Linked DNA regions of Drosophila melanogaster. The protein of the gene in region 1 purifies or fractionates together with the protein of each later gene. This does not show direct contact. Each region holds a gene or a part of one and is shown in the gene's direction. Other genes may lie near its edges. The genes, in order: CG1532, CG18789, CG11777 and SdhA.

Region 1 (7,916 bases):
AGGGAATCCAGCCAGAAGCTTATCGGATGGCAGCCAGTGGACATCGCGGTCGACAGGGTGGATATATATGTCCTTTTCGGCTTGTTAAACCTGGATTAATACTTTCTTAGTTCTTTCCTAGGTGAAGGAGGAGCCGCCGGACGAAGGACTCAAGGAAAACCATGAGGAAAATGAGCATGAACTGGAGGAAGAGCATGAAAAGCAGGCGGATGGGCAGCAGGTAGATCTGTCGAAGAAGCAGGAGGATCAGAAGAAGATTCTTGACGACCGGGAGGATGAGGAGTATCCAGATGAGTACGAGAACAGCCAGCAACAGCTTAGCCAAGGCACTGGTAGTAAACGACGCGCTGGCTTGGCCTGCGATCAGTGCGGCAAGCAGGTGTACAAGCTACCGTACTTGGAGGCCCACATCCGCAGCGTCCATCAGGGCTACTCGAAACCCTTCTTGTGCCGCAGCTGCGACAAGTCCTTCACTCGATATGAGCAGCTGCGCTCCCACATGCGCAACGCCCATCCACAGCTGGAGCAACTGCAGCAGGAGCTGCGCGACCTAATCTGCGAGCTGTGCAACCGGCAGTACAGCACAAAGAATGCCTTGGGCGAGCATTTAAAGCGTCATGCCCAGCGCAAGGAGCACGTGTGCGAGCACTGTGGAGTGGCCAAGGTGACCCGAACGGAGCTACTGACCCACCTGCGCACCCACAATCCCACCTGGGAGCGCTTCAAGTGCGAGCAGTGTCCGCAGCTCTTTCGCCACAAGAGCGCCATTAGCCGGCATGTTCGGGTGGTCCACGAGGGTCAGCGGCGGTTCCAGTGCGGTCATTGCGAGAAAAAGTTTGGCACGCATGCCTCGCAGGTGCGGCACGAGCGGCTGCACACGGAATCCACGGGCTCGGGAGAGGCAGCCGAGGAATGGCCCTTTGCCTGTATTCACTGCCAGAAGCCTTGCGTTTCGCGACAAACCCTTGAGTTGCACCTACGAAGGCACCGCGCGAGAAAGACGCACAGAAAACGAAGGGAGCACAGTCGGGAGAGTCAGGAGCAGGAGCAGGAGCACGACCGCGATCAGGAGCAGGGCGCTCGGGAAGCTCAACAGGATCAGCTCCGCAAGGGGGAAAAGCTACGGCAGAGAGATCTCTCCAGGGAAAGCCACCGAAATGAGGTGACCATGCAGACAAGCCAGCGGCCAAATGAGTGTCAACAAGGTCAAGAGTCCTACGATCCGGAACCGGATCCGCTGGAGGCAAGTCAGTGCAAGCTAGAGCAGGAAGATGCACTCGATCCGGAATGGCAGCACAAAATAGAGCAGGACGCAGAATCGCAAGACTCGGCGCGACTGGAAGGGCATTTCCATGACTACAAACCTATCCCTTCGAAAGCCTTATGATCAACTATAACCTATCCATATACGTCCGGTTACATACATCAGGTTAGCGCCCCTTGAGCAAAAATCTTTGATTTGAGATATTTAGAAAACTGTTAAAGCTAGAGTTTTGAAAATTGCTTTTCATTCAAACGTTGAACAATTCTATAAATGTAAAATTTATATAGGATGCAGTTTCTTGTTTATAGATTTTTATTTAAGTAAAAAAAAAATCCATAAATGGGTTAATTAAAATTGGGTTATCAGGATAACGCCCCCTAAGATAATTTAAGTTGGTTCGATTCATTTCGAAAGAAATTGGGATGATTAACACTTAAATATTTAAATTAGAATATTTTTAAAGGAAATTATGGACTTCACACATTCGTCTGGAAAGGGAATCATATATTTTTTTTGTAGGTAATCCAAAGTAATCGCAGACCAATCGAGTTTTATTCCGGTGAACGATTCGTTTTGAGTGGCATATTGTTTACCACCCTCGTATACCTTCCTAGCCAACCATACCCACACGTTATCTATTATATAGTAGTAGTATGGTGGTAGTAGTATGGAATCCATGTTTTTGCCAAACGTGCAGTGTGGATTGAGACACTGTCAATTTGAAAATGTCATTCTAAATTTCCAAAAACGTTTCTAAAGTAGGGAAATGCAGTTTTGAATTATAATCTTTTGCGTTCATTTTTGGTGTTTAAAACTGCAATTTACCTATAACCCGACTGTGACAGCGATCCAAAATGTACGCAAATCATAATAGTAATGAAAAAAGCCGTCTGGTTTCTCCAGATTAAATTTCTTCTTGTCCGAAAATACGACGCCACTCCTTAGACCAAGTCAAATGAGCTCGAGCAAAACTCAGACCCGCTTTTTTTCGCAACTTATTGAGAGGTGGTTTTATTTTCAGTTTTTCGTGTTTTATGTTTAGCTGTCTTAATCACCATTTGAATCAAAGATTTGATCTGGTTTTCAACACTTTTTCTCGAATTTTGGCGGAGAAGTCGTGGGAATTGGGAGGTATTCGAAGTATGGACCTGCGATCTGCCGCGGTAAAGACAAGGTTATTGCCACCATTATTTTTTTTTTCCATAAGTTTCGTTCTTTTGAATAAAGTTTATTATAGGGTTGCGACATCTGGCGGGTTTTCTGAAATTTTATGATTATGAGCATTAATAGAATGCTATGATATTGTATATTTCCTGCAGGGATAACAGGGTTCCTCTTAAAGCAAACTTTTCAATTCAACAGCATAACAAATTTTGTTGTCCTTACCTTAGGACCTTTTTTTTATCCTCAAGGAGAGAGGGAATGTCAGTGAACAAAAAACAACAACATTGATGAATTTTCGTGCAATGGCAAAACCAGAAAATAAAAATGAACGGAGCCATGCAGGGGGCGCTAATCTGATGACGCGTAGTGTATATCCAATGAACTATCATGCAAATGTGGCTAGGACGCATTAGCGAAAATTTTTAAATATCTTACTTTCACGACATTTTATCCTTGCTACTACAATGTATTAAATAGTTTTATATGTTCGCTTACTTCGTATTTTATACGTTTTATATGCTCGCTTACTCCATATTTTAAGTGCCTAATAAAACTGTTGACGATAATTGCTTTTCATGGAAGGACTTTTGTGACAACATTTTGGATATACTCTTTTTTTAAAGTGTATTTGTCAAGTGTAAAATTTTGTGTCACAAAAGGTAAATTCCGATATTCGTTTTTTGAAGGTGCGATAGTCATTAGTTTTTTCCTCGTAGATGTCAATCAGCAAAAAGCGCACTTTATAATTTAAAACTTACAGTGTATTTAAATTTATTATTATTTAGTCTAAACTAAAAAATATCGATACTTCCAAAAGCTCCCGTCGCTGGGAATATTTGCTGTTCTGCGCACGGCCACACTGAAACGGAATGTACATAAACAAGGCCGAAATTCGATCGGAAAGCACTTGCTGAATAAACGCCAGCTGATAAACACAAAGATGTCGGCCATATCGGGACGCGCCCTGCACTATGTGTTCAAAATCGGAGATCGGGCGAAAAACGCCTTCTTCTTTCGGCAAATCTTGGGAATGACGGTAAGCTGGGTGTGGCGGGCGTATCGCCAGAAATCGGCAGACTTCCTTATCGCAGGCTGTTGTGTCTGGCTGTAGTTTTATCTGGACAACGTGTCAACGACGCGCGGCTGCTAATTAAAAAGCCCAGATGCCCGATAATGTCATATAATGACTGTGTTAAAATTTCATTTTTCTCTCATCGTTTTTGCTCCCTTCTATCGCCATCCCGCTCGTTCGCACGGCAACAGGTGCTGCGGCATGAGGAGTTCAAGGAGGGATGCGACGCAGCTTGCAACGGGTGAGTGCTATTTCGGAGTGTTGCGACAGGACTAACTGGTAGTGTTAATCCTTCACAGGCCCTATGACAATCGGTGGAGCAAAACAATGGTGGGTTATGGACCCGAAAGTTCGCATTTCGTCATCGAACTCACGTATAACTATGGAGTGAGCAGCTACGAAATGGGTAAGACACATACCGGATAAAAATGTTAGGCTCACATGAGGATTAAAAGTCCTGAGTGCAAGCTAACAAGCGGGAACGTTTTAACCCTTACAGCGGCTAAGTAATATCATCCTAAAATACCTATTTATTTTATCAGGCATTAAAGCGTTTTTAATAAGAATTGAGAGTTGAAAAAGTTTGAAACTTCAGTGATGGTAGGCTAAATCGCATATTTAAGCTTTGAGCAGTCATATGTACACATTTCTGGAAATTTGAAAAAATGTACAACCCTATAAATGATTACCGAGTTATAATCCAAAATATTTAATCTAACACTAGTAAAATTGGGATGGCTTATCTTAAAGTACAAATGAGTTATTCTATCTTCGACAACTTCATAATTAAGTGTTTCACTAATAATAGCTATTCGATAAGTGACTTGTCTTAAGTACGTAAAGATAGTAGGTTATTAATCTTTTTCTTTATGAATACGGAAATAGTTATCTATAAGTAGGTCGAAATCTATCAGTCATTCTAGTTAAAACCGCGATGAAGATTTCTGTCTATCACAAAATGAACTAAAAACGAAAGTATGTGAGTTGAATGTTTGAAGATGTTTGAAAAAGTACAGTACAGTAATTGAAATATACTACTTAATGATTCCCTTTGTATTAATTCCCAAGTTAATTTTAACACTTATAAATCCTGTTAATCGATACTTATTCTTTTCGATTCAGGCAATGATTTTGGGGGCGTGACCATACACTCCAAGGATATCCTTTCCCGCGCCGCCGAGCACTCGTATCCTGTGACACAGGTGTCTGGAAAAGCCGGTAGTCTGCTGACCTCGCCCGATGGCTACAAGTTCTATGTGATCGATCAGGCCTCTGCCAGCTCTGATCCTGTCCAATCGGTGGAGCTTAATGTGAGCAATCTTCAAAACTCGCGCAAATACTGGCACGATTTGCTGCAACTGAAAGTTCTCGAGGAGAACGAAGCAAGCGTGCGTTTGAGTTACGGTGAACAGCAGGCTTCACTGGAGATCACCCAGATCTCAGAGCCAATTAATAGAGCTAAGGCCTATGGACGAATCGCCTTTGCCATTCCGGCGGCCCAGCAGCCACCTCTCCAAGAAGCGGTTAAAGCAGCTGGCGGGGCCATTCTAACACCTCTGATTACCCTGGATACGCCAGGAAAGGCCACCGTTACGGTGGTAATTCTCGGTGACCCCGATGGTCATGAGATCTGCTTTGTCGACGAGGAGGGCTTCGGCCAGCTATCTCAGGTGGAGTCCGATGGCGATAAGCGACTGGATCGAAACATCGAAAAGGATCCCTTCCAACCGAAATGACTTTCCCAGCAATCCTTGAGCACTGTTATTTGTACACAGCACCTTTTGTATTTGGATTTTGTATTGTCTAATGGTTAATGGCTGTTTTCAACGGAGATATTATACTTTTTAAAACATTGTAAAACATCACCTACGCTCGTTCTTGTTTTACAACATACATATATTTTATTACATAAACTGTCGATAAAATTAAGCGTGCGTATGGGACTTATTTTTCTTTGTTATAAGAAGTATTTTAGCTTTTCTAGTATTGAATCAATCAAAAACACCTTTAAACGAGGTGAAAAGACATCCTGATATCAGCTATTGTGGTTTTTAATTCGACTAAACAAACAGATGGTCATAAATCCGCTTAATTGGTCCTTACTAGCGAAAAGGATTTCAAGTATATGTATTCTTGATTTGGAACACATATATTTTATTAAGTATTGCGTACTTAAGTATTATTTTTATGATCCTAACAACGTGCTCGGGATTTTCCTTTCATTTTCATTTCAGTTTTAGAAGAGACAAATTGGTTTCGATTTCGTTTTTTGTAGCATTTATTTTTTTAGGGTGTTTCCTGAATTTATTTTTATTTTTTTTTTACTTGAGCGACAAGGAGACGTTGGTGCAGAATGAAGGACTCGAGTCAATCGGCGCCGGCAGGCCTTTTGGTGGCAAATCTGAAGTCTTGGGAAACGTTCGACTGGCCGACGGAGCAGCAGCGTTGGATCTACCGCAGTTGGGGCCAGTACTTTGCGCGGATGCGGAAGAACACCTTTGCCCAGAAGTACTTCGACAAATGCATCACAGAGAATGAGAGCACGGATCACAAGGCTCTTTATCTGCGCAGCAAATTCAAGAGATCGGTGGCCCTGACGCAGGACGCATTGGAGGATAGCTTGAGGGCCATGGAGGTAAGGCAGGCGTGGGACGCAAATGTGTCCATGGAGCTCGGAGATGCGCTCTACGATTTGAATCGGTTTGAGGAGAACAAGAGCCTGCTGCACGACAATGTCCGTCGGCATGCGGGCACCGCTCTAAAGAGCTTCGAGAATCGCCTCGTGGTAGTCGATGAGAATCTCAAGGATTGCACGGGCTTCAGCCTGGCCAACTTCTTCATGGAGCATTCCGCGCAGCTGCCCGGCTTCTATGCCCATCAGCAGGAGGAGCTTCGAAGGGCCGACAGGCGGCCGCTGTGGAAAATCCTCAAGGAGCGAAAGGAGTGTGATGTCCAGAGCAGGATCGATCGCAAGGAGGTGATGCTCTCCCCACTGGAAAGAGAGCGCAGGCGTCGCAAGACCAAAATATTTTATCAGAACTATTTGGGTCGCAGCTGGACCGATTTTTTCTTTCTGAAAACACTTCGCCGGCATCCCAACTGTCTTCTAGACAATCATTTCGGCTCCTCGGCGGACCGCACCAAGTATCTTGAGTATGCGTTCCAGCGCCTTAAGACCTTCACACGGATGCTCCAGGCAAGGAGACCCATGTACAAGGAGTACTTCCATCGGAATCCCCAGATAGAGGCTCGCATGCGGGATGCGAACTTGTTCCGGATCCAGTACCAAACCAGGCGAAACATGGTGAGCATCCTGCGGACCATTAAGGTGCTGCGGGGGCGGAATGATATCAAGGTGAGCTACGGCTGGTGGGTTACATATTCCACCTATGCCAGGTAAAAGCGAAACCAGCTAGTTTAAAATAACTAACCACATTAATTATAGCGCCTGCGCAAGTTTGTGGAGGAAGTGATGGGCAGCTACGTGGTCATCAAGACGAATCGACTGATGCCCTGGAAGGCGGAGTTCATGAACGAGGTGTACAACAATCTGGCCCTCAGTTTGTGCGAGGGATACCGCCTGCCGCCCACACGGGTCACGCCCTACGACAAGAGCGCCATGTGCCAGCTGCTCAACATACCGGTGGCCAAGCCGCTGGAGCACACGGAGCTCATCTTCGGGGATCGATCCACCTACTCCTATGCCGGCGCCGACAAACAGAGCACCGATCGATTGGCAGACCAGTGAGTTTCAGTTATTTCGAACTCATAGCGAACTCGCAATTGATAAATTATAGATATATCAATAATAATTTGAAGTATGTATTTATGTTTCTAGAATATCAGCTAGCGCCATCTATATTTGATGGCATACATATTTTTTTAAAATTTCCTTAAAGTTAAAGTTACTTAAAGATCTATAAGTAGTGTGAAGAGTGCTTAAACGCAACATACAATTTAATTTTAAGAAATTTAATATTACCCTATTTTAAACATGATTAATTCGCCAACAGAAACCAAATCGAGTATCTGGAGAAACGACTTCTATTCGCCCGCCTGCCGATCGAAAGGAGCTACTTGCTCCATGAGCTGGCCGATCGGCATATGCAGAAGAACCACTTTGTGCAGAGCCTGTCCTACGCCCAGAAGGCCATCGAGGAGGCCAGGGTATGCAATAGCCTGATCTGGGAGTTTCTCAGCACCATGCTGATGGCCAAGTCACACGCGGTGCTCCACAAGTACGAGCGCCAAACGGAGGTGCTCAACTCCGCCTACGAACTGGCCGCCCAGCTCAAGTCGCCCCAACTGTGCACCTTCATCGAACTGTGCCGCATGCTCAACAAGGACTACATCACGTTGCGCAAGATGTCCCAACTGGTGACCACCAAACGGCTGCGCACCAAAATCTCCAACAGG
Region 2 (7,461 bases), on another chromosome or scaffold:
ACAAGGCTCCTGCCGCTATGGCGCAAAGTGCAACAACGAGCATTTCGATGTTAAGTGAGTACATTGATATTAAAACTATGCAGATGAACTAATAACTTAATTATTTTAGGCAATATCTCAAAGCCGACATGGAATCCAGCCTCAATGGCAAGATGTGGCCTTTGTCCGCCTACGGACCCTTTAAGGACAAAGCGAATTTCCCCAACTTTATTCAGGACCAATCCTTCGAGGAGGTGCGGTTCATGTGTTACGAGGCCAAACGACAAAACCAATTCGAACAGTTCAGCCAACAGTTTAACCGTGAGGTCCTAGAGGCTAACAACAAGATGAAGACCATGCTTCAGATGTCGCCGCAGGTCCTGGAAATGATGATCAAGATCCACGAGACGCCGGAGGGCGGCACTGTGTCGGCTGCCCCTCAGCAGTCCAGTAATCCCTTCGCTGCAGCAGCTCCGGCTGCCGCCAATACATCTGCATCCATTTTTGGAAAGCCCACGCTGAGTGCGGGAAATATATTTGGGAATGCCACAAGCCAAGCCAGCAACACCAATAGCATTTTCGGCGGAACGATTAGCAATGCCAATGCAAGGAATAGCATTTTTGGTGTAGGAGCTGCGGCAACAGGTGCACAAAGTGTCTTTGGACAGCCACAGCAGCAACAGCTGCAGCCTGCTGCACAAGCTTTCCAAGGGGGCAACATTTTCGCCCAGGCGCAGGTTCAGGTGCAAGCTCAGCCAGTGAATCCTAATCCTTTCGGTGGTTTCCAACAGCAGCAGCAGCAACCGCAGTCGACGGGAATCTTTGGCCAAGCCGCAAGCCAAAATATGGGCGGAATGTTTACTCAGGCTTCTCAGCAACTACAACAGCAGCAGCAGGCAGCTGCCTCCGGATTATTTGCTCAAGCAGCAGCATCTGCATTCCCTAATCAACAACAGATGCAGCAGCAGCAACAGATGCAGCAGCAGCAACAGATGCAACAGCAACAAATGCATCAGCAGCAGCAGATGCAATAGCAACAAATGCAGCAGCAACAACAATTTCAAATGCAACAGCAACAGCAAATGATGCAGCAGCAGCAGCAGCAGCAAGCTCAACCGACCAACGAAATCCAGTCCTCAGTTTACAGTCGCATGGAGGATCTCAACGAGCAGGAAATCGAAGCATTCAAGGCGGATCAATTTCTACCAGGTGCCTTGCCATTCAAACCGCCTCCACGGAATCTTTGCTGAACCAAACACTTAATGGTACACTAGCGTATAATGTATATATTTTTACAGAAGCTGATATAATAAAATAATTAGAACTTATAAGCTAATGCATCATCATATTGAGTCGTTCCATGTTTATGGAGTAGACGGCATGCGAGCCTATCAGGTTGCGATCCCGTAAGGCCAGTTGGCAGTCCTTGAGGGTGATTACTGTGCGTTCGGTGGGTTGGCTGAAAGAAACAAAACCTAAGTTTGTGTTTCACATGAAAATCTCATTATTATTCAGGAGCTTACACTTCTTCGCAGGCGGAGAGGAAGGTCACATCGTCGTTCTGTCGCCGCATAAAGTTGGCCGTATTCAGTTCCTTGTCCAGTTCCAGCGGCGTGTCGTCGACCTTCTGCCGGGTGACGGTGTTGCGCAGCGAAGGATCACGCAACGGAGCACCTACATCGTAGTAAAAGTTTCCCTCGCCGCTGGTCTTGTAGTGCTTTCGTTTCTTGATGATTGCCGATAGTAGATCCTTGAGCAGAACTTGCACGGCCATGGCAACGTACTCGGCGACATTGTCGTCCACGGAGACAAGTCCGATTTCCCAGGCACCGATCAGAAATCGTCCCATAATGAATCCCGCGTCGGGCAGGAAAAGTTCCTGCGCGCAGTACCGCTGCGACTGAAGCTGTTGCTGTTGCTGGTCCGACGGAATACCGATCGTGGTTGGCGGACGAATGATTTGCATGTTGTCCTCGGCTACAAAGTCCAGGACGTCGCTGAGCTCAAAATTAAGGCGTTCGGCGAAGGTGCGGCAACTTCTTTTGCGCCGTTTGCTTCGGTTGCCACTACTGCTGCTGGTCTGGACGGCCGGAGGATTCTCCAGGGGAGCAAAGGCGTCGATCTTGTTGAGCAGGGCGAGCAGGAACTGATTGTGCAGGTGCAGTTTGTCAGGTGTTAGGATTTTCCGCGACTCCGCATCGAATTCCTCCTTAGTCCAACGGCTCCGAAACCAATTCTTCATGTTGGCCCGGTAACGCTCCCAGTTGTCGCCCAGAGCCACCACTAGCGCCTCCTTGGTGGCCAGAACTCTGTCGGTAAGCATTTTAGTATTGGGAATAACAACTAAACAGGAAAATCCAACTGTTTGCGAATTGCTATATAAACAAATGAATGCAGCTGATTCGAGTGACCGTTCAAAGAACGGCTGAAAATACCAGATACATTTGAGATAAAAACCGTTATTTTTGAAGAACCCTTTAAAAAAATATTGGTTTTAATCTTTAGTGTTCACAGTTTTTATTGTGTACAAGTTAGTTAGTTAAAATATAAACATTAAAGATAGAGCCCACGCCATTCACACAACATAAGATGATAATATTTGCGAAGCTATTTGATCATTAAAAAAGTAATAGAATAGAATAAATATCTTGGTTAATGTTAAAAAATTTAACATAATTTAACATAAATTGTCAATACAATGAGTATTGTATATAAATGCTACGCATAAGAACATACTTAATATTGAAGGTAAACATTACACTGAAAATAACTATGGTTACATAAATATGGTATCGGATTTAGAAGGATAAGGAAAATTCTTTTAGCCTAGAAACACTCATCCTAATTGACGCGATCCCATCGCCACACGGTGCTGTCGTCGCACACGCAAACTAAAATGGAACCGTCTTTGGAGAAGGAAGTCTGTCGGATGGTGGAGTTGCTTTTGGGATGAACCAGCTGGCTACACTTTGTTAAATTGGGATCATTGCAGTCCAATTCCCAGACAAATGTTGTGCCCAGTTGATTGCCCAAGGCCAGAATCTTTTGCCAGGCGTTGAAGGCGAAGCGTACGAACCAGATTTCCGTAGAAATTGGTCAGATAGGGGAGCATAGCGTCCAATACACGTGGGTCCATTGGAGTGGTGGCCTGGGCATCCAGGTAAAGTGGTCTACCCTCGGTCTGTTCGTTCTTTATGTTGAATCGCACCTGTCTCTCCCGGAATTCTACGAACGAATACGATTTTGGTAAGCGGTAACTGTGCATCTTGGAGGATCCGCTTACCTTTGGATGTGGCGGCTGGTTTAGCCGCTGTCCTGGAGGAGGTGGCCTCGTGTCTAACCACATTGGCTAATGCATTCGTCGCCCGGGAGCGGAGGACCTGCGCCTGGATGCGTCCCAGCACTTTTTGCATTCTGATGGAATCCTAGAAATTCTGGTGTTAAAATTCGTTATCACGGATTTCACAATCAGTGGGACCGTATTCGGCGGCACGAGATATACCAAAGGACTCCGGAATTCACTTTAAAATTATCTGATTCGATTATGCAGAAGCAAGTTTCTGAATTTCTTTGAACATATGAAAAATGAATAGCATCTGTGCAAGAAACCAATATTTTTCAGATATATTCGCACTTAATGTATAATTTACAAGGAACTATATTTTCAAAAACCAGTTTTCATCTTAAATATGTTTGCTTACAAAATTATCTTAATCATTCAGCGAACTTAAGTTACGAATTCACGAAATTGCGCGCATAGGCACGGTATATTTTTCTCAGTGAGCCATAAAATACTCAAAGAATACTCAATACGCAAAGTAAGACAATTATAAACAAAAGTACAAAAGTTGAAGCAGTTTTGAAATAATAAATATAGGAAATAGGCAAAAATTAAAATCAAATTTAAATATGGTTGTCTGCCGGTTCTTTCAACAAGGCTCCTGCCGCTATGGCGCAAAGTGCAACAACGAGCATTTCGATGTTAAGTGAGTACATTGATATTAAAACTATGCAGATGAACTAATAACTTAATTATTTTAGGCAATATCTCAAAGCCGACATGGAATCCAGCCTCAATGGCAAGATGTGGCCTTTGTCCGCCTACGGACCCTTTAAGGACAAAGCGAATTTCCCCAACTTTATTCAGGACCAATCCTTCGAGGAGGTGCGGTTCATGTGTTACGAGGCCAAACGACAAAACCAATTCGAACAGTTCAGCCAACAGTTTAACCGTGAGGTCCTAGAGGCTAACAACAAGATGAAGACCATGCTTCAGATGTCGCCGCAGGTCCTGGAAATGATGATCAAGATCCACGAGACGCCGGAGGGCGGCACTGTGTCGGCTGCCCCTCAGCAGTCCAGTAATCCCTTCGCTGCAGCAGCTCCGGCTGCCGCCAATACATCTGCATCCATTTTTGGAAAGCCCACGCTGAGTGCGGGAAATATATTTGGGAATGCCACAAGCCAAGCCAGCAACACCAATAGCATTTTCGGCGGAACGATTAGCAATGCCAATGCAAGGAATAGCATTTTTGGTGTAGGAGCTGCGGCAACAGGTGCACAAAGTGTCTTTGGACAGCCACAGCAGCAACAGCTGCAGCCTGCTGCACAAGCTTTCCAAGGGGGCAACATTTTCGCCCAGGCGCAGGTTCAGGTGCAAGCTCAGCCAGTGAATCCTAATCCTTTCGGTGGTTTCCAACAGCAGCAGCAGCAACCACAGTCGACGGGAATCTTTGGCCAAGCCGCAAGCCAAAATATGGGCGGAATGTTTACTCAGGCTTCTCAGCAACTACAACAGCAGCAGCAGGCAGCTGCCTCCGGATTATTTGCTCAAGCAGCAGCATCTGCATTCCCTAATCAACAACAGATGCAGCAGCAGCAACAGATGCAGCAGCAGCAACAGATGCAACAGCAACAAATGCATCAGCAGCAGCAGATGCAACAGCAACAAATGCAGCAGCAGCAACAACAATTTCAAATGCAACAGCAACAGCAAATGATGCAGCAGCAGCAGCAGCAAGCTCAACCGACCAACGAAATCCAGTCCTCAGTTTACAGTCGCATGGAGGATCTCAACGAGCAGGAAATCGAAGCATTCAAGGCGGATCAATTTCTACCAGGTGCCTTGCCATTCAAACCGCCTCCACGGAATTTTTGCTGAACCAAACACTTAATGGTACACTAGCGTATAATGTATATATTTTTACAGAAGCTGATATAATAAAATAATTAGAACTTATAAGCTAATGCATCATCATATTGAGTCGTTCCATGTTTATAGAGTAGACGGCATGCGAGCCTATCAGGTTGCGATCCCGTAAGGCCAGTTGGCAGTCCTTGAGGGTGATTACTGTGCGTTCGGTGGGTTGGCTGAAAGAAACAAAACCTAAGTTTGTGTTTCACATGAAAATCTCATTATTATTCAGGAGCTTACACTTCTTCGCAGGCGGAGAGGAAGGTCACATCGTCGTTCTGTCGCCGCATAAAGTTGGCCGTATTCAGTTCCTTGTCCAGTTCCAGCGGCGTGTCGTCGACCTTCTGCCGGGTGACGGTGTTGCGCAGCGAAGGATCACGCAACGGAGCACCTACATCGTAGTAAAAGTTTCCCTCGCCGCTGGTCTTGTAGTGCTTTCGTTTCTTGATGATTGCCGATAGTAGATCCTTGAGCAGAACTTGCACGGCCATGGCAACGTACTCGGCGACATTGTCGTCCACGGAGACAAGTCCGATTTCCCAGGCACCGATCAGAAATCGTCCCATAATGAATCCCGCGTCGGGCAGGAAAAGTTCCTGCGCGCAGTACCGCTGCGACTGAAGCTGTTGCTGTTGCTGGTCCGACGGAATACCGATCGTGGTTGGCGGACGAATGATTTGCATGTTGTCCTCGGCTACAAAGTCCAGGACGTCGCTGAGCTCAAAATTAAGGCGTTCGGCGAAGGTGCGGGAACTTCTTTTGCGCCGTTTGCTTCGGTTGCCACTACTGCTGCTGGTCTGGACGGCCGGAGGATTCTCCAGGGGAGCAAAGGCGTCGATCTTGTTGAGCAGGGCGAGCAGGAACTGATTGTGCAGGTGCAGTTTGTCAGGTGTTAGGATTTTCCGCGACTCCGCATCGAATTCCTCCTTAGTCCAACGGCTCCGAAACCAATTCTTCATGTTGGCCCGGTAACGCTCCCAGTTGTCGCCCAGAGCCACCACTAGCGCCTCCTTGGTGGCCAGAACTCTGTCGGTAAGCATTTTAGTAATGGGAATAACAACTAAACAGGAAAATCCAACTGTTTGCGAATTGCTATATAAACAAATGAATGCAGCTGATTCGAGTGACCGTTCAAAGAACGGCTGAAAATACCAGATACATTTGAGATAAAAACCGTTATTTTTGAAGAACCCTTTAAAAAAATATTGGTTTTAATCTTTAGTGTTCACAGTTTTTATTGTGTACAAGTTAGTTAGTTAAAATATAAACATTAAAGATAGAGCCCACGCCATTCACACAACATAAGATGATAATATTTGCGAAGCTATTTGATCATTAAAAAAGTAATAGAATAGAATAAATATCTTGGTTAATGTTAAAAAATTTAACATAATTTAACATAAATTGTCAATACAATGAGTATTGTATATAAATGCTACGCATAATAACATACTTAATATTGAAGGTAAACATTACACTGAAAATAACTATGGTTACATAAATATGGTATCGGATTTAGAAGGATAAGGAAAATTCTTTTAGCCTAGAAACACTCATCCTAATTGACGCGATCCCATCGCCACACGGTGCTGTCGTCGCACACGCAAACTAAAATGGAACCGTCTTTGGAGAAGGAAGTCTGTCGGATGGTGGAGTTGCTTTTGGGATGAACCAGCTGGCTACACTTTGTTAAATTGGGATCATTGCAGTCCAATTCCCAGACAAATGTTGTGCCCAGTTGATTGCCCAAGGCCAGAATCTTTTGCCAGGCGTTGAAGGCGAAGCGTACGAACCAGATCTCGCACATCTTGTAGTCAAAGTGATGCAGCACCGTGGTGGCCGACTCCTGTGGCTTAATCTCATGCCACGATTCTGAAAGTTTGCCCGGCTTCCAGCAAACAATTGAGTTCTCGCAGGATTTCGAAAAGACAAAGTCGCCGAACCACTGAACGCAATCCACATAATTTCGATGTATATCCCTTGTCGAGAAGTCCGGAAAGTGCTCCTTGATCGTGGGAAACGGACCCGTATTCTTGTTGGGACTAAAACCAGAGCTCAGCTCGATGGCCTCTTTTATATCGGGCTTATCCAGTCGCCAGAGCTTCAGTGAGTGATCCATTCCACTGGACATGATGCGATCACCGCGCAAATCAAAGTCCACAGACAACACTTCGTCGCGGTGTCCTTCTACGCCGCCGAAAACCGCCACACACACGTCCGACTGAATGTTCCAAAGGCGCAGGGAGTGATCCTTGCTGCCGGACAGAAGTAACTGCGGTCTAGTCGGA
Region 3 (6,931 bases), on another chromosome or scaffold:
AACAACGGTAATGTGAATTACTTCGAATCAAATGTCCAAGGACATTCAGACACACGATTTTTTGTGAGTGGCGAATACCAAACTTTGGGATTTTAAGAGGAGCTGGAGGAAAGACGAGATGGCCAGTGGAACCAAGAGTATAGGTTAGACAAAGTTTAGACATTGTATCTAATCTAATTTGTAGCCTAATTATAAATGCTTTGGTTGTCCCATGCAACAGATCAGATTTGTTTAACTATTTATATACTTACCTATATTAACGTATGTGGAAATATAATTCTCCTCAATTCTTGAGCTCCTTTCCTCTCTCTAATGACCACATGGATGAAGTGTAGCTAATGGCCCATGGAAAATTTTTAAAATGAGTTTGAGGCGAGCCACGGAAGCTAACTAAGCTCGAACATGATGAATGAATTTGAATCGTTGAATTAAAAATTTAAAATAATATATAAAACATAAAAATAATGATATAAAAAACTGAAGTAAACCAAAATGTTTGTATGTAAAAGAAACTCAAAACGTTAGAGATCATCTACAATTTAAATAAATATAAATAAAACCAAGCAAGTTTGTTGTTTCTGAATGAAAAGATAGACCCATCTACTGGGTCCGAAAATACATCACTGGCGACGGCAGTCCACGTAGTGACGAAGCGCGCTAGGACAGATTGCATGGCACGACTTTCAAACAATTTTAAGAATCAGGAGGAAAAGTGGTGAAAAAGTAAAGGGGAAAATTAAAAAATTTGGTGCCACTTATTAGTCACGGAAAAGTAAAAAATCTGTTTTCGTCGCAATTTTGCTTGAAAATATTTAGCTGTCTGGTAATAAATGTCTTTTCACAAAGTCCTTCCAAAAAATACGTCCCCGTGCAAATTCATGGAAACTTAACTTGGGACCAGGTAGAACAACCCTCTTGAAGCATTTTTAATTTGAGGATTTCGTGGTACAGTTGACCAGTACAGTCACATAACTTATCAGATGACTTTTGTCACAGGTAGAAGAATCGTGTATGTTGATATAGGAACTACTGAAACTGTACAAACTGCAAATTACTACTGCATTTTGACTGCAATTTTCGTTTTAAAGATCCCGAAGCCAAAGCAATACAATTACCTCTAAACCTTGTGTTGCGTTTTATTGTGGAATATATTAGGAAGAATTTTGGCTATTTTTTACAATTTTGTATGGGGTATCCCCAAAGATCCCAAAAATCTTAATCTTATGAACATAAATCTGTTAAGTCTAATCTATTGCATTGTCTACTCTAAAAGTTTCTTTTTTGATTTGGGCGTGGATATGGTTCGCAAGGACACGCGACGTGGCGTCTTGTTATTCGGCGTGGATGGCCCCGATTCAGTCGGATTTTTTGGCGTTTCCTCTTGCGTATCCTCGTAGACCAGACGAATGTCCTCAGTTCGCTCGCAGGTGGCCTCGCTGGCCTCTATTACCGCTGGTTTCGTTTCGGTCTTTACAGTCTCCGGCAAGGGTTTTCGAGAATCCTTCTTTGTCGCTGGCAGGGGTGTGATGCTCTCGTCGAGGGGCCAGGCATCCATGGCCTCCTCCATTGGGACCACAGGCGAGTTCACCGGCATTTCGATGAGTACGCGTGGAGTTCTCCTCACTGCAATGGGAGTAGCTTGCTTGGCGGGTTGGCTTTTCGGCGTTAGATTAAATTGGCTGGAGCTGCCAGGAGTTCGTGGCTGGCGACGCACTTGAATTGGTGTTGCGGGTCGGGACTTCTTCTCAGGCGATTCGAACTTATCATCAGAACTGATGATCTCCTTCTCGAACACCGGAATCACTGCAAGTGCCGGCTGTGATGTCTCTGCTGGAGGCACTGCCTCTGTGCTCACCTTGCGCTTGACAGGTGATGCCACTGTTTTCTGCACTTGAGTCGTTTTTGTGTGAGTAACTTCCATTTCGTCTTTGGGCTTGCTCGATTCGCTATTCCCCTTATCCTCGGGCTTACGCGGAGCTCTGCGTATAGCAATCGGCATGGGTGCAGTCGAATTTTTACGGGGCGAACGCCTGATGGCGATGGGAGTGGGTTTCTCCTCTTCGCTAGCTTTTGTTTTGGGACTGTTCGTTTTATTCGAACTGACACTGTGCGTTGATGAATCGTTTTCAGCATCCAACTCGGGTTCCCCTACCTCTGTGATACCTGCTTCGGACGCCCTTCTAATTGTATTTGGTTTCGATTTTTCCTGCAGTGGTTTCCGTGGTTCATCCAACGATACCTTGCGCAGCTTTTGCCTCTTCTTTTTCAACACCGTTGCATTCTCTGAAGATTTTAGAACAACGCTCAGCACTGTTTCCATATCTTCATAGCAGTCGCCCAGCTCGGTTGGCTCGAAGGTAATCAGTGAGCAGTAGCCATCGGTGCTGGACACGATCAGGACGGTGCCGTCGCTCGACCAGGCCAAATCCGTAAGCCTGCTATAGTGAATGTTGGACACAATGGCAAACGGCACCGGCTGCTGGGTGTCGTAGAAAAACACAGCGTTCTTTGTGGCCACAGCATAGATCATGCGGTACGGCAGCGAAATAATCGGAGGATTCTTCTCCGCATTGTACGGTCGCAGACGGTACAGTACCGGAGAGCAGCGAACAGCCACCGCATATTCCTTGGGAAAGGGCAGCACAAAGGCGGGTTTGGACAAATCATGGCGACTAAACCCATAGCTGGTGTTTATGGGTTTCACAACACCATCGTAGTCGGTAATTCCTGACGGCGTTAACAGCAGCTTACCATCGGGTGTGAAGCATAAGCGGCGAAAGAAGGTCTGCAAGGTTCCATCTTGGTACAATCGCATGCTCTTGCCGTGCATCTCGTGGTCCTCTTTTACTGGGAGTACACATTTGCTGACTCGGTGCAGAACTCGCTTGGTATTGGCATCAAATATCCGCATTTGTCTAAAAGAAATTTAACTCCATTCGATTAAAGTTCGAACATTTTGGACTGTACTGCTTACCTATCGGTGCTCATGGTGGCGATGTATTGATTGCAGGGATCCCATGCCACGCCCTGTACATAGCCCTTGTGGTCATCTAGAATAGCCAGTGATTTGCCACTGTGCACATCCCAGAGCATCGCTGTGTTATCCACGGATCCGCTGACCAGAAACTGTGAGTTCGGCGCCCAGCTGAGATCGTAGATATCCTCGCGATGGCCGCGCAGTACCTTGAGAGTCAACCAGACCTCCTTGTCCTGTTCACTGCAGCCATCGGCGTCCACAATGTTGACAACTTCGTGGTCGGCCTTCTGTTTCCATATAAAGACAACACTCTCGTCATCGCCGGATGCCAGCAGTTCTCCGTTCGGTGACCAGCGGACAGCGTTGACGGCACGCTGATGCCGGGACAGGTCGGCGGCCAGCTCCACATCCACGCCCTCGGCGTCATCACTTCGGTTAACATACCAAATGAGGACATGGGCATCCGAACCACCAGAGGCTAGGCGGCATATCGTCGGAGAACGCAGCCCCAGGCCATTTTGCTGTATATCCACACTCAGGACAGGATCGCGGTTGTGCCACGAAATCTCGGGTATCTTGCACTTCATCCTGTTTACTTAATGTGCCGCTGTTGATTAGTTGAAGTGCGAAGAGAAAAATCACTTTATGCGGCAGAATTCGCGCCTAAAAGTGTGACCTTCGGTCACGGGAATACCAAATAGTGCTGTTTTCGATTTCTGTTATCGTTAATGGACCGATTGCATATCGAAACGAGGGCTGCACAATCACTTTTAAAATGGTAAACAAAAGTTGGAATATCTGATTTCTTACAGTTTTAACCGATTTTGTTGTGTTGTTTGCAGTCTGTAACGCTGCACACCGACGTGGGTGACCTCAAAATAGAGCTCTTCTGCGATGCCTGCCCCAAGGCCTGCGAAAATTTCCTCGCCCTGTGTGCGAGCGACTATTACAGCGGCTGCGTCTTCATCCGAAACATCAAGGGATTTATTGTCCAAACTGGAGATCCTACGAACACCGGAAAGAATGGACAGTCCATTTGGGGCCAGAAGTTCGACGACGAATTCAAGGAGACCATTAAGGTGAGCCGGCTACCTAGGTTTTACCAGAAAAACCCTCATTCAGTTGCGCCATGACAGCTGGCTTTAATACCCAGCATTCCGGCTTTAAAGGGTATATTGTATCTAATCTTAGAATGTAACCAGCACATGAATCTCAAAATGTATGTTGACATCCATATCATTTTACATTTTAATATGTCATGTGGTTGGGTTCGTTTTTCAGTCTAAAAGATTCCCAAGATACAAGAAGAAATCCTTTAATTCTTGACCACTTAATTCTTCAGCACACTGATCGAGGAATGGTTTCCATGGCCAACAACGGACCGAACGCCAATGCCAGCCAGTTCTTCATTACCTATGCCGCCCAGCCAAATCTTGACTTGAAGTACACGCTCTTTGGCCGTGTGATCGATGGATTCGATGCCCTGGATGAACTGGAGAAACTGCCCGTCAATCCCAAGAACTATCGTCCCCATGTGGACAAGAAGATCAATGGAGTAACTATACATGCCAATCCTTTGGCGACGTGATAGAGATAGAGACAAAGGCCAATCGTACGCTTAAAATGAAATATATTTATAGCACTTAAGGTTACGCGATTTCTTCGATTACAGACTAATTGATTGAGAAACATCAAATATTGTGCAAAAGTATCTAAAGACTAAATCTTAAAACCAGCCAAGTCACAATTGTTTATAAAAAATTGCATTGTTTATGTATAACTCTCACGACGACTTTTGCACTTCATTTCGAACTAGACGGATGTATCAGATGTGTTTAAAACGACCAACTAGGGGGGTAAAAACAAATGCTAACAAGAATCTCGACTACATGGACTAAACGGGATTATGTGGATTTGCCGTTTGTGAGTGATTTGGCGGGCTTCGGATGGTCCTTCATGTGCTGCTCGAACATGCTGCGAATGTCTGACAGAGCCTGCGATATGTTCTGAGCGAAGCGGTGCACATCCTGTAAAGAAAACAATTCGATTAGCTGTGCTCCATGCCATGAATCAGGGCTCCTCATTACCGTTTGCTGGCACGTAGTCTTCGCTGAGATATGGAAGAATATCAGGTTCTCTCCGGCAATAATGTACGACACACCGTAACCATCATCGGCCACGGGCCCAAAGCCGCCTCCAGCGCTGATGCAGTTCGGATGCTTCTTCAGGTCCATCTTGGGCGTCTGGCCGTGCGGAGTCTGACTAGTAGAGAGGCGCCAGGGTTCGCTGAGCACCTCGTTGAGGAAGGGTGAATCCACCTCCAGGTACTTGGAGACCACATACAGGCAGAACAGATGCCTGTCGATGCCACGACCGCACATGGCATCCTGGTAGCCCAACTGGTGACGATCGCAGGCAGCCTGCATCATCTTCACACGCTCATCGTTCTGTACAGCATGGATATATGGATTAGCCTTTGATCTAATTACATAAAATTGTAAAATCTTACGGTTGTATTTGGGTTCTGCATGGCCTTGACCCAGGCGGATGACTCAATGGTGCACGGACGCACTGTCTCAGTTCTTCCTTCGCGGAACAGACGGGTCATTGAAGCCTCATATGTCAACGAGAAGCGACCGGCATCTCGGTAGTAGGCCAACTGCAGGGCCATTTGTATGTAGGCATCTGGTGAGATGCGGCACTTCTTCATAAAGCCCTTGCCGTAATCCTGGTGCACCAGGATGCGCAGATTGACCTCGTTGATAAGCTTCGTCACATCGATGGTGGCCTCTTCGATCTGCGCCAGGCATGGTTTAAGATCCCAAGTGAGCCTAGTGGGCGTGGGTGGCTGGAACGCCGGGGTGCCCTTTGTATTACCCGTTTCGTCATATCTACAGGGTTACCAAGGGAATAGGTTAGCATTGTGGGGAGACGGTTTGTGGGCAAATTTATGGCAAGCAACGTAAATCAAAGTATTGTTAATTTTGTGTAATTGTTGTTAGTCACGAAAACAAAATAAACTAAATGTTTACTTTTGGGTTGATTACAATTTGTAAATACAGTAAATAAAGACAGTAAGGAAAGTAAGGAAAAACAACTGAAATGGCCAACATAAGCTTATATAAAATATGCTGCGTACTGATCAAACTATTCCTCATGTAATAAATTAATAATCCCTTAAAACGTGTCTGGCATTCGCATACTAGATTTTGTATGTTTCAAGTTCGTTATGCTAGTATTTACTGTATGGCGAGATCATTAAAGCTTTTAGCGCCTAGTGATCTCTCGTACTCAACCCAAAAATGACTTGAATAACTTTGCTTTGTGCTTGTGTGCATTGTAGTTAAGTGTTTACCCATAAATATCATCACCAAATATATACTCCCACAGGTGTCCCAAAACCGGTGCATCGGCCCTATAAAAAAAGTGTAGATGGTGTAAATAAATTGTTAGGCCACAACCGGAGTTAATAAAAATAATAATAATTTTTGATTGGGACAATGGGTGATAGGTGATGATAACTAAACGCAGCCAACCGAAACCGAAAAATTGCAGGCGGTATAGGAATCGAAAATCATTACCCGTCCGATACAAGATCATCGACGATCAGGTTCTCCCACATGTGTGACGCGATGGCAGCGTCGGACCTTTTGGATTGTAATTTTACAAATCGGTTCAGATAGTTAAGTATGGCAAATCGTAGAAATTTTATGGATGCTGAGAGGAAGATATTGGCTGCAGCGATTGGAATCCACTTACCAGGTGTGTTCGGCATTGAAGCCAACGCGACCATTGGTGCCCACACAGACAGTGAAACACTTGTCAAACCAGCGGTTGTAGCCATTGCCGTGCAGCAGCTTCTTGCCAAAGTTGTCCAGCAATTCCGGTCGCGCCAAATCGAACTCGAAGGGCTCATCATCCAGGGAGAGCACAAAAGCGGCCGACTCGATGGTG
Region 4 (9,948 bases), on another chromosome or scaffold:
GTACTGCATGTCTGCTTGCTTTTTAACATATATTGCTGATCCTGCTGCATGTCCTCGTGTTTGAATAGCGAATCCTAAACTCCATCTATGTACTTATACATCCACACCAATCAAAACATTTAATACATGTACATGTTTTAGTTAGATTATTATTCGTGCGTGTCTCATATGGTGAAAGTAATTACGAAATTAATATCAAATATTTTGTGTGCGTCCACTGAGTTACATTTGTAGGAGACCCATGCCAAATTACACTGCTATACAAATTACTAACGACATTTTCGACCCTTTTGCAACAGGTGAAAACGTACAAAATGGCGATCATTCGGAGGCACACTTGAGCACCTTCTCGCAGAGCAGTAAAGAGGTAAGTACATCCGAACTGATCCTGCGATCCAAGATCTACGGATCTCTTCTTCAACTCGAACACTCACAAGCAGTAAGCTGGGTGGTAAGCGATTAGCAAGTAGAGTTGCTACATCGACAAGACAACCAGTTTTAAACAACATCATCATGCATTGAGCTAACCTCATTTGATTTACTAACCGAAGCGCAACCGATATTCTCACTGCAAATTTCTATTACGGTTCCAGGATGTCTCCACGGACGGATCCCCCAAGAAAGACAAGAAGAAGAAGAAGGGTCTGCGCACACCATCGTTTTTGAAAAAGAAGAAGGAGAAGAAGAAGGCCGAGGCCTAAGCTGACCATCAGCGTGATCCGTAGGAGTAGCAATCTTGACCAACCTCCCACCATCAGCGGGAACCGAGAAAAATAACGACAATGATACCACGAGAAAATGGAAACTTTAGCCAGATCAGCAAAAGAAGCATTATATAAAAAAAAGAGAGAGGCCTAAACAAGCAACGGATGAGCAGCTAAAATCGATCGAGATGCATCTAAGGGGAAATCCCCCTCACCCTCCCTTAATTCGCATTCACAGCTTATATCTATTATAATATAATTCTAATTTTTAATTTATACGATGGCCACGGCAACACACCCTCCCCTCCACACACACACACACACAGAGAGAGATAAATGCAATTCACACAACAATTTGTATGATAAACGAGAATGAGGTTTGCAGGTGTACACGCAATATCCGACACCGCCGCTTTGTCCTAAACAAGTAACTTGCAAATATCTTCTAGATGTATTAGCTTATAAAATAACTACGCAACACACCTTACTACATGATGACATGGTAAAGCAAATGAACAGATAAAAAAGGGTACAAATTCCCAGGCAACTCTAACGACAAACAAAGATTTGTTTGAAACAAAGGCAAACTTTTGTTTTTAGACACATACGTACAAGCGTGGTACATGCATAATACTTAAATGCAATATTTTTTTAGAAATGCAATAAATTCGATGACAACAACTACAATTTGATATTCTAGGCATGTGTGTGTTTTGTGAAAGCGCGTTTTATGTTTTTGTGTTCTTTTGTTTTGTTTTTAAATTCCGGGCAGCCACAATTTGCACACAAAACGAATAAATAATTATTGTATACATGCAGCAATTGTATTAGTTTTTTATATAAATAATTATATATTTTTATGTACGTAAAACTGTTTATACATACATATACATATATATATTTATAAAAACCAATAAATTATGAAGAAAACGAAAATCCAAAAATACACCACGCCCGCATTAAAACATGCGATTACTCTGAGGAAAGCAGAAACAACACAATCACTGAGAATGGTTGGAATTTTCCAAAAATTATCTCCAAGAATCAAATTTCAGCATTTCTTTTGTAAGTAGATGTGCTTGATTTGTAATCGCTTTTCCATTTATAATATTCAAATCGATGAATAACGAATACTGCAATTAACTATATACGACTGCCATAGCATGTAAAACTTTAAGGCACAACTTAAACGCATTTACATTTCAAATTAACTGACATAAAATTAAAACCCCGATGATTAATGCCAGATAAATCGAATGTTTCTGCTTTTCCTACCCAAACCCACCACCACATTGAAAACACTCTCTTTACAACATAATACTTGCATTGCTGAGCCTTAGACAAACAAACAAACAAAAAAAAAAAACGGCAAAATATAAAGTATAATTAAACTGATTATTTGCGCAACGACAGAAGCTTATTTCTAGCAACTTTTTTGCGTCATTAAGGCGAAAAAGTCTGTATAATTTTGTCCTTAGATTAACATTAGAAATATGTCAATATTCTCACTCTGTGCAAATAATAAAAAAACTTTTGAAAAAAGCAAACGAGAAGCCGAAAGTTTATTCATAAAATTTGTTTAGAGTGTAAGAAAATGCATATAAATATATATTTAAATTCGTATTATACACAAGAAAAAACACGACACACACGAAGAAGTAAACACGTAATAAATAAAAACTTGAAAATTGTACAAAATTCAAAAGTATTTGAAAAGAGGTTTTTTTTATTTGTATTTATTTTTTGAGTAGTCATTCCAAAAAATGTAACAATGGTTTTGCATTAAATGTTTATAATGTTTGAGAATTTAGCATATGATTTAAATCGAATTTGAATAGTATCCGGTTTTCATAAACGAGGGCCCACTGTTATTTATGTTTGTTTTTCACCGAAGTGGCATCTCTGATCAGCTGCATATATTATCGTTTCTTTGTTGTGTTTATATGTTGTGACTCAGTGCGAAACCGTGATAAAACCTGAGAATTGAAACGAAATTTAGTCGGTCACCAAAATTACAAGTGTCAAGATGTCCCTGGTTTCAGATGAGGAGTGGGTGGAGTACAAGGTAGGCCCAATATGTCCTAGCAAGCGACGCAATATTTAGAAATCACTTGATTCCACCATAGTCCAAGTTCGACAAGAACTACGAGGCAGAGGAGGATCTGATGCGTCGTAGAATCTACGCCGAGTCCAAAGCCCGGATTGAGGAACACAATCGGAAGTTCGAGAAGGGCGAAGTGACTTGGAAAATGGGAATTAATCATTTGGCTGATCTCACGCCTGAGGAATTTGCCCAGCGTTGTGGCAAAAAGGTGCCGCCAAATTAACAGAATCTCAAGTGAATCTCATTTTAAATAGACATTTTGTAAAGACACTAATCTCTCTGTAATTCTATAAATATGCATTTGAATTTTTAAATCTTTATCGTTCAACCACCCCCAAATAAACAATAAATCAGCTGTTTTGTACATTTTAAAGATTTTGGGATTTTTGTGTTCTGGCCACTTTGGCTGGGAGAAAAACAGTTCATTAGGTTTTGGTTCAATGAACGAAGGTTTATTTATCTCTACGATATATGCAAATAAATACGTACGGCTGAGATGGTAAAATTCCATTCCAAAAATATGTATGCTTGTACGCGGTATCTATATACATTTTGAACTTAAAGCGGATTAACGCCTTTCTGCGATGAACTAGTTCCGGTTCAGCGTTCATTGAGCGAGTCAGTGAACCGAACTGCAGTGCCGACGAGCGGCAGTTCACACACAACATTTGAAAGTTTGTAAACTTTTCCTTTTTCGATCACATAGACACATCGATACACGTAGTTATTTGTTTTTATTTTGTACCAACACCAAACACCCCATCTTACAAGCGCGTAAAACCTCGTTTTCGGTCCAATCTCTTGCAGAATCTTGCAGTAGAACCTCACAGCCCAGCCAAACATGTCCGGAATCATGCGTGTGCCATCGATTTTGGCCAAAAATGCAGTCGCCTCCATGGTAAGTAGTCCCCATTTTGGAAGTGAAAACCCAGGCTCCTCTGTGGCAAACGAAATGATTTAAGAGTGGTTATACAACCGGGTCTACACAGAACCCAGCCAGCCAGCTCGTGATGTGACAACAGAAAAAGACCAACGAATTGGCCAAAAACGCGCCACCCGTACTTGTGTTATGTAATTTGTGAGCAAATTGTGGGACACAGGTGCATTAAATTATTCCCTTTGCTAGATTATATTAATTTTCATATAGCGAATATCATTCCAAGCAAGTGTTCAGCAATTTTGCGGATTTTATAGTGGAAAGCTAGGTGTGCACCAGCGAGGTTATGTTATGCTGCCGCCCCGCCCCCTTCATCCATGCTCTCCTGCATCGACGATATCGTGCATTTGGGCATTTCGTGCAACAAAATGCAGTTGAAACACTTGGTTTTGGATGCACGACACGCCTTGAAAAGCTTTATAAGTACCGCTTAATCGGAAGATTCACAAAAGAGAGGATAGTAGTATATAGTAAATCAAATGATTGGCAAGCGGAGAGAGCAAGCGAGAGAGAGAGAGAGATGGAGGCACGTCACAGAACTAACAGCTGATTATACAATGGAGCTAATTGATCGCCGTGCTGATCTACCCCGCCCCCTTCCACCAAAAAACCCCGGCCGAAAAATGCCAGTTCAATTATTTCATTTGTTTATTACATAAGCAGTTATCACTGCAAGTCGCTCTTTCTGTTTTTATCAACTTATCTTGCCGACGTCACCAAAAGATACTATCTCAACTTGTATCTACACCTTTTTTTTGCATTTAAATTTAACTAACGGCCGAAAGTTTAGTTGCAACAACGTTTTGTGCACTTTCCGGTCTTAATTTTTTGGAATTTTCTGATAAGATAACACTAAGCTATTTCAGATACGTAAATAATGTGGGTATTCGTGAAACTGAAAATTTCTATTTAATTAATAGATATTGAGAAAACATTCCCTTTAAGAAATGACAACACAGGCAGTAATCTTTAAGTCTGAGTTTACGTAATTTTTTTCGCAAACGATTGTGAATTATCGTTGAATGACTAAAGCAAACAATAAGTTGATAGCTTTATTGACAACCCCGGCTTTCAACTCTGAAAATATTTTAATCTATAGATCCATTTTCTATATTTATTGCTTTGGGGATATATTTGACTTATTTTTCATGGAATATGATCCAATCCAATATGATATTTATTTATCCCAATTTATATCTTGCAGCAACGTGCCGCAGCCGTTGGAGTGCAGCGCAGTTACCACATCACACACGGCCGCCAGCAGGCCTCGGCGGCGAATCCGGACAAGATATCGAAGCAGTACCCGGTGGTGGATCACGCCTACGATGCGATCGTCGTGGGAGCAGGAGGAGCCGGCTTGCGGGCGGCTTTTGGCCTGGTGGCTGAGGGATTTCGCACGGCGGTGATCACCAAGCTTTTCCCCACCCGCTCGCACACGATCGCCGCCCAGGGCGGTATCAATGCCGCTCTCGGCAACATGGAGGAGGACGACTGGAAGTGGCACATGTACGACACGGTCAAGGGCTCCGATTGGCTGGGCGACCAGGATGCCATCCACTACATGACCCGCGAGGCGCCCAAGGCTGTCATTGAGCTGGAGAACTACGGCATGCCCTTCTCGCGTACCCAGGACGGTAAGATCTACCAGCGCGCCTTCGGTGGACAGAGTCTGAAGTTCGGCAAGGGCGGACAGGCCCATCGCTGCTGTGCTGTGGCTGATCGTACTGGTCACTCGCTGCTGCACACGCTATACGGTCAATCGCTGAGCTACGACTGCAACTACTTTGTGGAGTACTTTGCCCTGGATCTGATCTTCGAGGACGGCGAGTGCCGTGGTGTGCTGGCCCTGAACCTGGAGGATGGCACACTGCACCGATTCCGCGCTAAGAACACGGTCATTGCCACCGGTGGATATGGACGAGCATTCTTCTCCTGCACCTCGGCGCACACATGTACCGGTGACGGTACTGCTATGGTTGCACGCCAGGGACTGCCCTCTCAGGATCTGGAGTTCGTGCAGTTCCATCCTACTGGCATCTACGGCGCCGGATGTCTCATCACCGAGGGCTGCCGCGGTGAGGGTGGTTACCTGATCAACGGTAATGGTGAGCGCTTCATGGAGCGCTATGCTCCTGTGGCCAAGGATCTGGCCTCTCGCGACGTCGTCTCGCGGTCGATGACCATCGAGATCATGGAGGGTCGTGGCGCTGGACCCGAGAAGGATCACGTGTACCTGCAACTGCACCACTTGCCGCCCAAGCAGCTCGCGGAGCGTCTGCCTGGCATCTCCGAGACCGCCATGATCTTCGCCGGTGTTGATGTGACCCGTGAGCCCATCCCCGTGTTGCCCACCGTGCATTACAACATGGGCGGTGTGCCGACTAACTATCGCGGCCAGGTAATCACCATTGACAAGGATGGCAAGGATGTGATTGTGCCGGGACTGTATGCCGCTGGTGAGGCTGCTTCCAGCTCGGTGCATGGTGCCAACCGTCTGGGTGCCAACTCTCTGCTGGATCTGGTGGTCTTCGGACGTGCATGCGCCAAGACCATCGCCGAGCTGAATAAGCCTGGTGCACCGGCTCCCACCCTCAAGGAAAACGCTGGCGAGGCCTCTGTTGCTAACCTCGATAAGCTGCGCCATGCCAACGGCCAGATCACCACCGCCGATCTGCGTCTGAAGATGCAGAAGACCATGCAGCATCATGCTGCTGTGTTCCGCGATGGCCCCATCCTGCAGGACGGTGTGAACAAGATGAAGGAGATCTACAAGCAGTTCAAGGACATCAAGGTTGTCGATAGGTGAATATAAAAACAAGTATTTTTTTGATTCCCTCTAACATTCCTTGACTTTAAAGGTCGCTTATCTGGAACTCCGATCTGGTGGAGACGCTGGAGCTGCAGAATCTGTTGGCCAATGCCCAGATGACTATTGTGAGCGCTGAGGCGCGCAAGGAATCGCGAGGTGCCCACGCCCGCGAGGACTTCAAGGTTCGCGAGGATGAATACGTAAGTTACTGTCGGCACTCAGCCCCTGAACTTCTTATCATGGAACAACATGTATTGCAGGATTTCAGCAAGCCCCTGGATGGTCAGCAGAAGAAGCCCATGGATCAGCACTGGCGCAAGCACACGCTCTCGTGGGTGTGCAATGACAACGGAGACATTACGCTGGACTACAGAAACGTGATCGATACCACGCTGGACAACGAAGTCTCTACTGTTCCACCAGCGATTCGCTCCTATTAAATCAAGACTTGGAGTTGCAGAACACCCGCATATACACCCCATACCATCACTCGTACGGATGTCTACTTAAACGTCTTTGTGGGCGCCAGTAAATAAATTTTGTCAAATCGCCAAATGAGCCGCAATATGCTACCAATTGGTAACTGGGAACTCGGCAGCGGTTCCGGGCATTTTGTGATGAAACGTAAATCCAGATTTTCTATACACCTATAAATCTTTCAAATCCTTATTACTACTCCGCTGATTCTACTTAGTTTCACTGTAAGCTGCCCTCCATTTGGTTACTGTTTGGTTGTCGGTTATTTACATTATTACATAAGCGAAAAATGTGTGTGAGTAGACAACGAGTTAGGTCTGAGGCGATATTGACTACGCAGCCTGTTTAGAAGCAAATGAAAACAAATCCAACTACACTTTTCTAGTATTTGTTAAACTTATTAAATTATTAAAACGAAAACGTGTAAAAACAATAAAAAAAGAACAAAAGTCGAAACGTTTGCTATACATTAAATAAATGTAATGAAGATTAAGTGCGCAACTAAATGACTTCTTCACTTAGCCGCGGAATACGTGAATTTGATTGGCCTTAACATCCAGTTGACTCAAAATATCTAAGGCAGCGGTATTGAATCCACTTGGTCCGCAAATGAGCACATAAGTACATCTTTCCGGTTGATTTTTCTGGAACAAAGGGGCTAGCAGCTCCAGCGCTATTCTTTGTGGATTATCCTCCGATTGGGAGACATAATTTGTGCAGCTGAATCTTTCGTCGTCGGTGTGTAGTTCATGGAGTTTCTCCTTTAACCAGATATCCTCATTGGTTTTGTTAAAGTACAATAATTGTAAGCTTTCACTGTAAATGTGGGAAATAAGTAAGTTTTTTTCGGGACTGATTTTTAAGAACTTACATTCGGTTTGTATTTCTCTTCAAGATGGGCTGAATTAGGCTCAGAATTGGCGTTAATCCGCTTCCCGCCGCTAGGAGTAGAATATTTCTATGTGCAGTGAGATCAGAGAGCTGGAAGGATCCACGTGGCGCACTCCAATGGACGCGAGATCCAGTTTCAAGCTTTTGCAGGTGACTGGAGACGGGTCCGTTCGGATACCTTTTGATCAGAAAGTGTAAGCATTCTGATCTGGATGATCTGATGTTCTCCAAACGTAGATAGGTGTGATCCACTGGTGTGTAGCTGCGCTGAATTACCCGTCCCTCTAGTGGGACTTCTATATCCACATGGTAACCAGCCGGCAGGACCATCAGAACCTTCTGCCCAACACTTTGCAGACATAGTTCAAAGGAGTCGTGATTGAAATCTTTGCTGTGAACTACTTCATACTCGAAAGTTTCATCATGTAATCGGCTAGAGTCTAATCTGTTGGACACATGTGTTCCATACGTTGGCCATGGTTCCGCTTCCTCCTTGACAAAAACTAACTCAATTTTCCCCGTCTCCGAACCGATTTTCGCTAACTTTGGAGGCCATTCTACATTGTTGGTCAGTTGAAAATCAAAGCTGTGCCAATTGTGCTGGACTAGAACCCGCACACTCAGTTGCTGGAGGTCCTTCCGCCGGACAACCAGGCCTGGATTAGCCAGGCTGCGCGTGTAGAAGATCAGGGTAAGTTCGCTCCTCTGCTGAATCCAATCAAAGCGTGGCACTATTTCCGGAGGCTGCAATATCACATTGGTAATCTGTGGACTTTCCTTGGCAGGTTTTGTCTCATTATCTTTTAGTGGTCCCACGTAGCACTTTCCCAACAATTGTGGATAGTTCACCCACGCGTGCACCTCATCGAACAATTTGGTGGCATCGCGACCAACACCACGCATTAGCTCATCCACTCCGCCCGGATGAAAGTCCATGTAGCGGGTGACATTGAAGACACGACCACGAATGGCCATCCAGGCGTCGTCGATCTTGTTGTGCCGGGCCAATTCCGTTCGCGACACGGGCACCAGACGCCCTCCGGTTCCCGATAGATCCGCTCCAGAATTGCACAGCCGTATCCAGTTCATCAGGGAGTAGCCCGGCTTTAGGGCGCACTTGTTGCGCGGATTACCAGTGGCCGATCCAGAAGCGGATGATCCATTGGAGTTCAGCTTCTGTGGCGCAGTGACGGGCAACTGCAGGCCACCGCCGGATCCCGCAGGAGCCATCAATTGGGGTGGCCTCAGCGGTTGGTTACTGGCGGGTGGTTTAAGGGACGGATCGGACATGATTAGTCCAAGAAAAAGGTAATCGCGCAAAAATCAACAAGCTGTTTAGTGAGGAGTAGTGGAAGGCGAAACAGCTGTATTTTGCTTTTGGTTTCGAGAACCAGTTGCGAAGTCCAAATGAACTAGTTCCACGGATCTTGGCGGTTCTATTTAAAAATGCCACCATATAGCTTCTTTAAAGAACACTCCATTGGAGTGGGTTTAGGTTGAAAATAAATAAAAGTTTATAAGTAACTCTTACAGTAAATGATTATTGTAATCTGTTTAAATATTCTTAGATAGATAAATTTTTTTTTAATAAGATGATGGATTTACTGAAGCATTAGCTTTCCACTTGAACAACAAGCAATATTACTCTTTAAAATTTGTCGTTGAATTTTCCATAAATGAAATATTACCTAAATATTTATAACAAGAAATTTTAAATTTATTTTAATTTAATTTATTTTAACGCTTTTTTATGCTTTTAAATTTAAATTGAAATAATTGAAACTAATTAAACCATCGACGTTGGATCATAGTGCATTAACAAATTTAATTGATACCTATATCTGCGACAGTTTCTCACGCCTTTTTTTTTTTGAAACCGATAAGGAATCTTTATGATTTCAGACCCACCGCAACCAAATTGCTGTTACTGATTATATGGCTAACCGCCTGAGTGGCGTTAAAGGCCGTTTATGAGGTGCTATAATTCTTGATGAACTAACTAAATGTTTTTATGGCACTTAAAAAT

What was found.
Region 2: the proteins of CG1532 (region 1) and CG18789 purify together in Drosophila melanogaster (affinity purification with mass spectrometry, with the first as the bait; one large-scale study listed by BioGRID). This does not show direct contact.
Region 3: the proteins of CG1532 (region 1) and CG11777 purify together in Drosophila melanogaster (affinity purification with mass spectrometry, with the first as the bait; one large-scale study listed by BioGRID). This does not show direct contact.
Region 4: the proteins of CG1532 (region 1) and SdhA purify together in Drosophila melanogaster (affinity purification with mass spectrometry, with the first as the bait; one large-scale study listed by BioGRID). This does not show direct contact.

What each region holds. Positions count from the first base shown.
Region 1 is NC_004354.4:21,023,728-21,031,643, reverse strand, and holds CG1532 (uncharacterized protein), read left to right. Parts: upstream 1-3,282; 5' UTR 3,283-3,368; coding exon 3,369-3,464; intron 3,465-3,691; coding exon 3,692-3,741; intron 3,742-3,799; coding exon 3,800-3,906; intron 3,907-4,622; coding exon 4,623-5,236; 3' UTR 5,237-5,519; downstream 5,520-7,916. Other genes in the region: CG1529 (uncharacterized protein), read left to right, coding at 1-57, 122-1,387; r-cup (ryder cup), read left to right, coding at 5,854-6,855, 6,946-7,244, 7,514-7,916.
Region 2 is NT_033779.5:11,991,745-11,999,205, reverse strand, and holds CG18789 (uncharacterized protein), read left to right. Parts: upstream 1-3,773; 5' UTR 3,774-3,888; coding exon 3,889-3,965; intron 3,966-4,020; coding exon 4,021-5,140; 3' UTR 5,141-5,217; downstream 5,218-7,461. Other genes in the region: Ada1-1 (transcriptional adaptor 1-1), read right to left, coding at 1,312-1,438, 1,503-2,302; Qtzl (quetzalcoatl), read right to left, coding at 2,963-3,204, 3,263-3,392; Ada1-2 (transcriptional adaptor 1-2), read right to left, coding at 5,223-5,349, 5,414-6,213; escl, read right to left, coding at 6,732-7,461.
Region 3 is NT_033778.4:10,464,882-10,471,812, forward strand, and holds CG11777 (uncharacterized protein), read left to right. Parts: upstream 1-3,734; 5' UTR 3,735-3,752; coding exon 3,753-3,755; intron 3,756-3,819; coding exon 3,820-4,056; intron 4,057-4,319; coding exon 4,320-4,565; 3' UTR 4,566-4,762; downstream 4,763-6,931. Other genes in the region: Caf1-105 (chromatin assembly factor 1, p105 subunit), read right to left, coding at 1,262-2,915, 2,975-3,564; whd (withered), read right to left, coding at 4,882-5,004, 5,065-5,424, 5,487-5,868, 6,559-6,624, 6,737-6,931.
Region 4 is NT_033778.4:19,389,445-19,399,392, reverse strand, and holds SdhA (succinate dehydrogenase, subunit A (flavoprotein)), read left to right. Parts: upstream 1-3,421; 5' UTR 3,422-3,528; exon of another isoform or gene 3,529-3,615; 5' UTR 3,616-3,649; coding exon 3,650-3,706; intron 3,707-4,949; coding exon 4,950-6,547; intron 6,548-6,603; coding exon 6,604-6,754; intron 6,755-6,814; coding exon 6,815-6,994; 3' UTR 6,995-7,530; downstream 7,531-9,948. Other genes in the region: cer (crammer), read left to right, coding at 2,731-2,769, 2,831-3,031; CG11257 (uncharacterized protein), read right to left, coding at 7,550-7,847, 7,903-9,212. UniProt on the Drosophila melanogaster protein: Flavoprotein (FP) subunit of succinate dehydrogenase (SDH) that is involved in complex II of the mitochondrial electron transport chain and is responsible for transferring electrons from succinate to ubiquinone (coenzyme Q).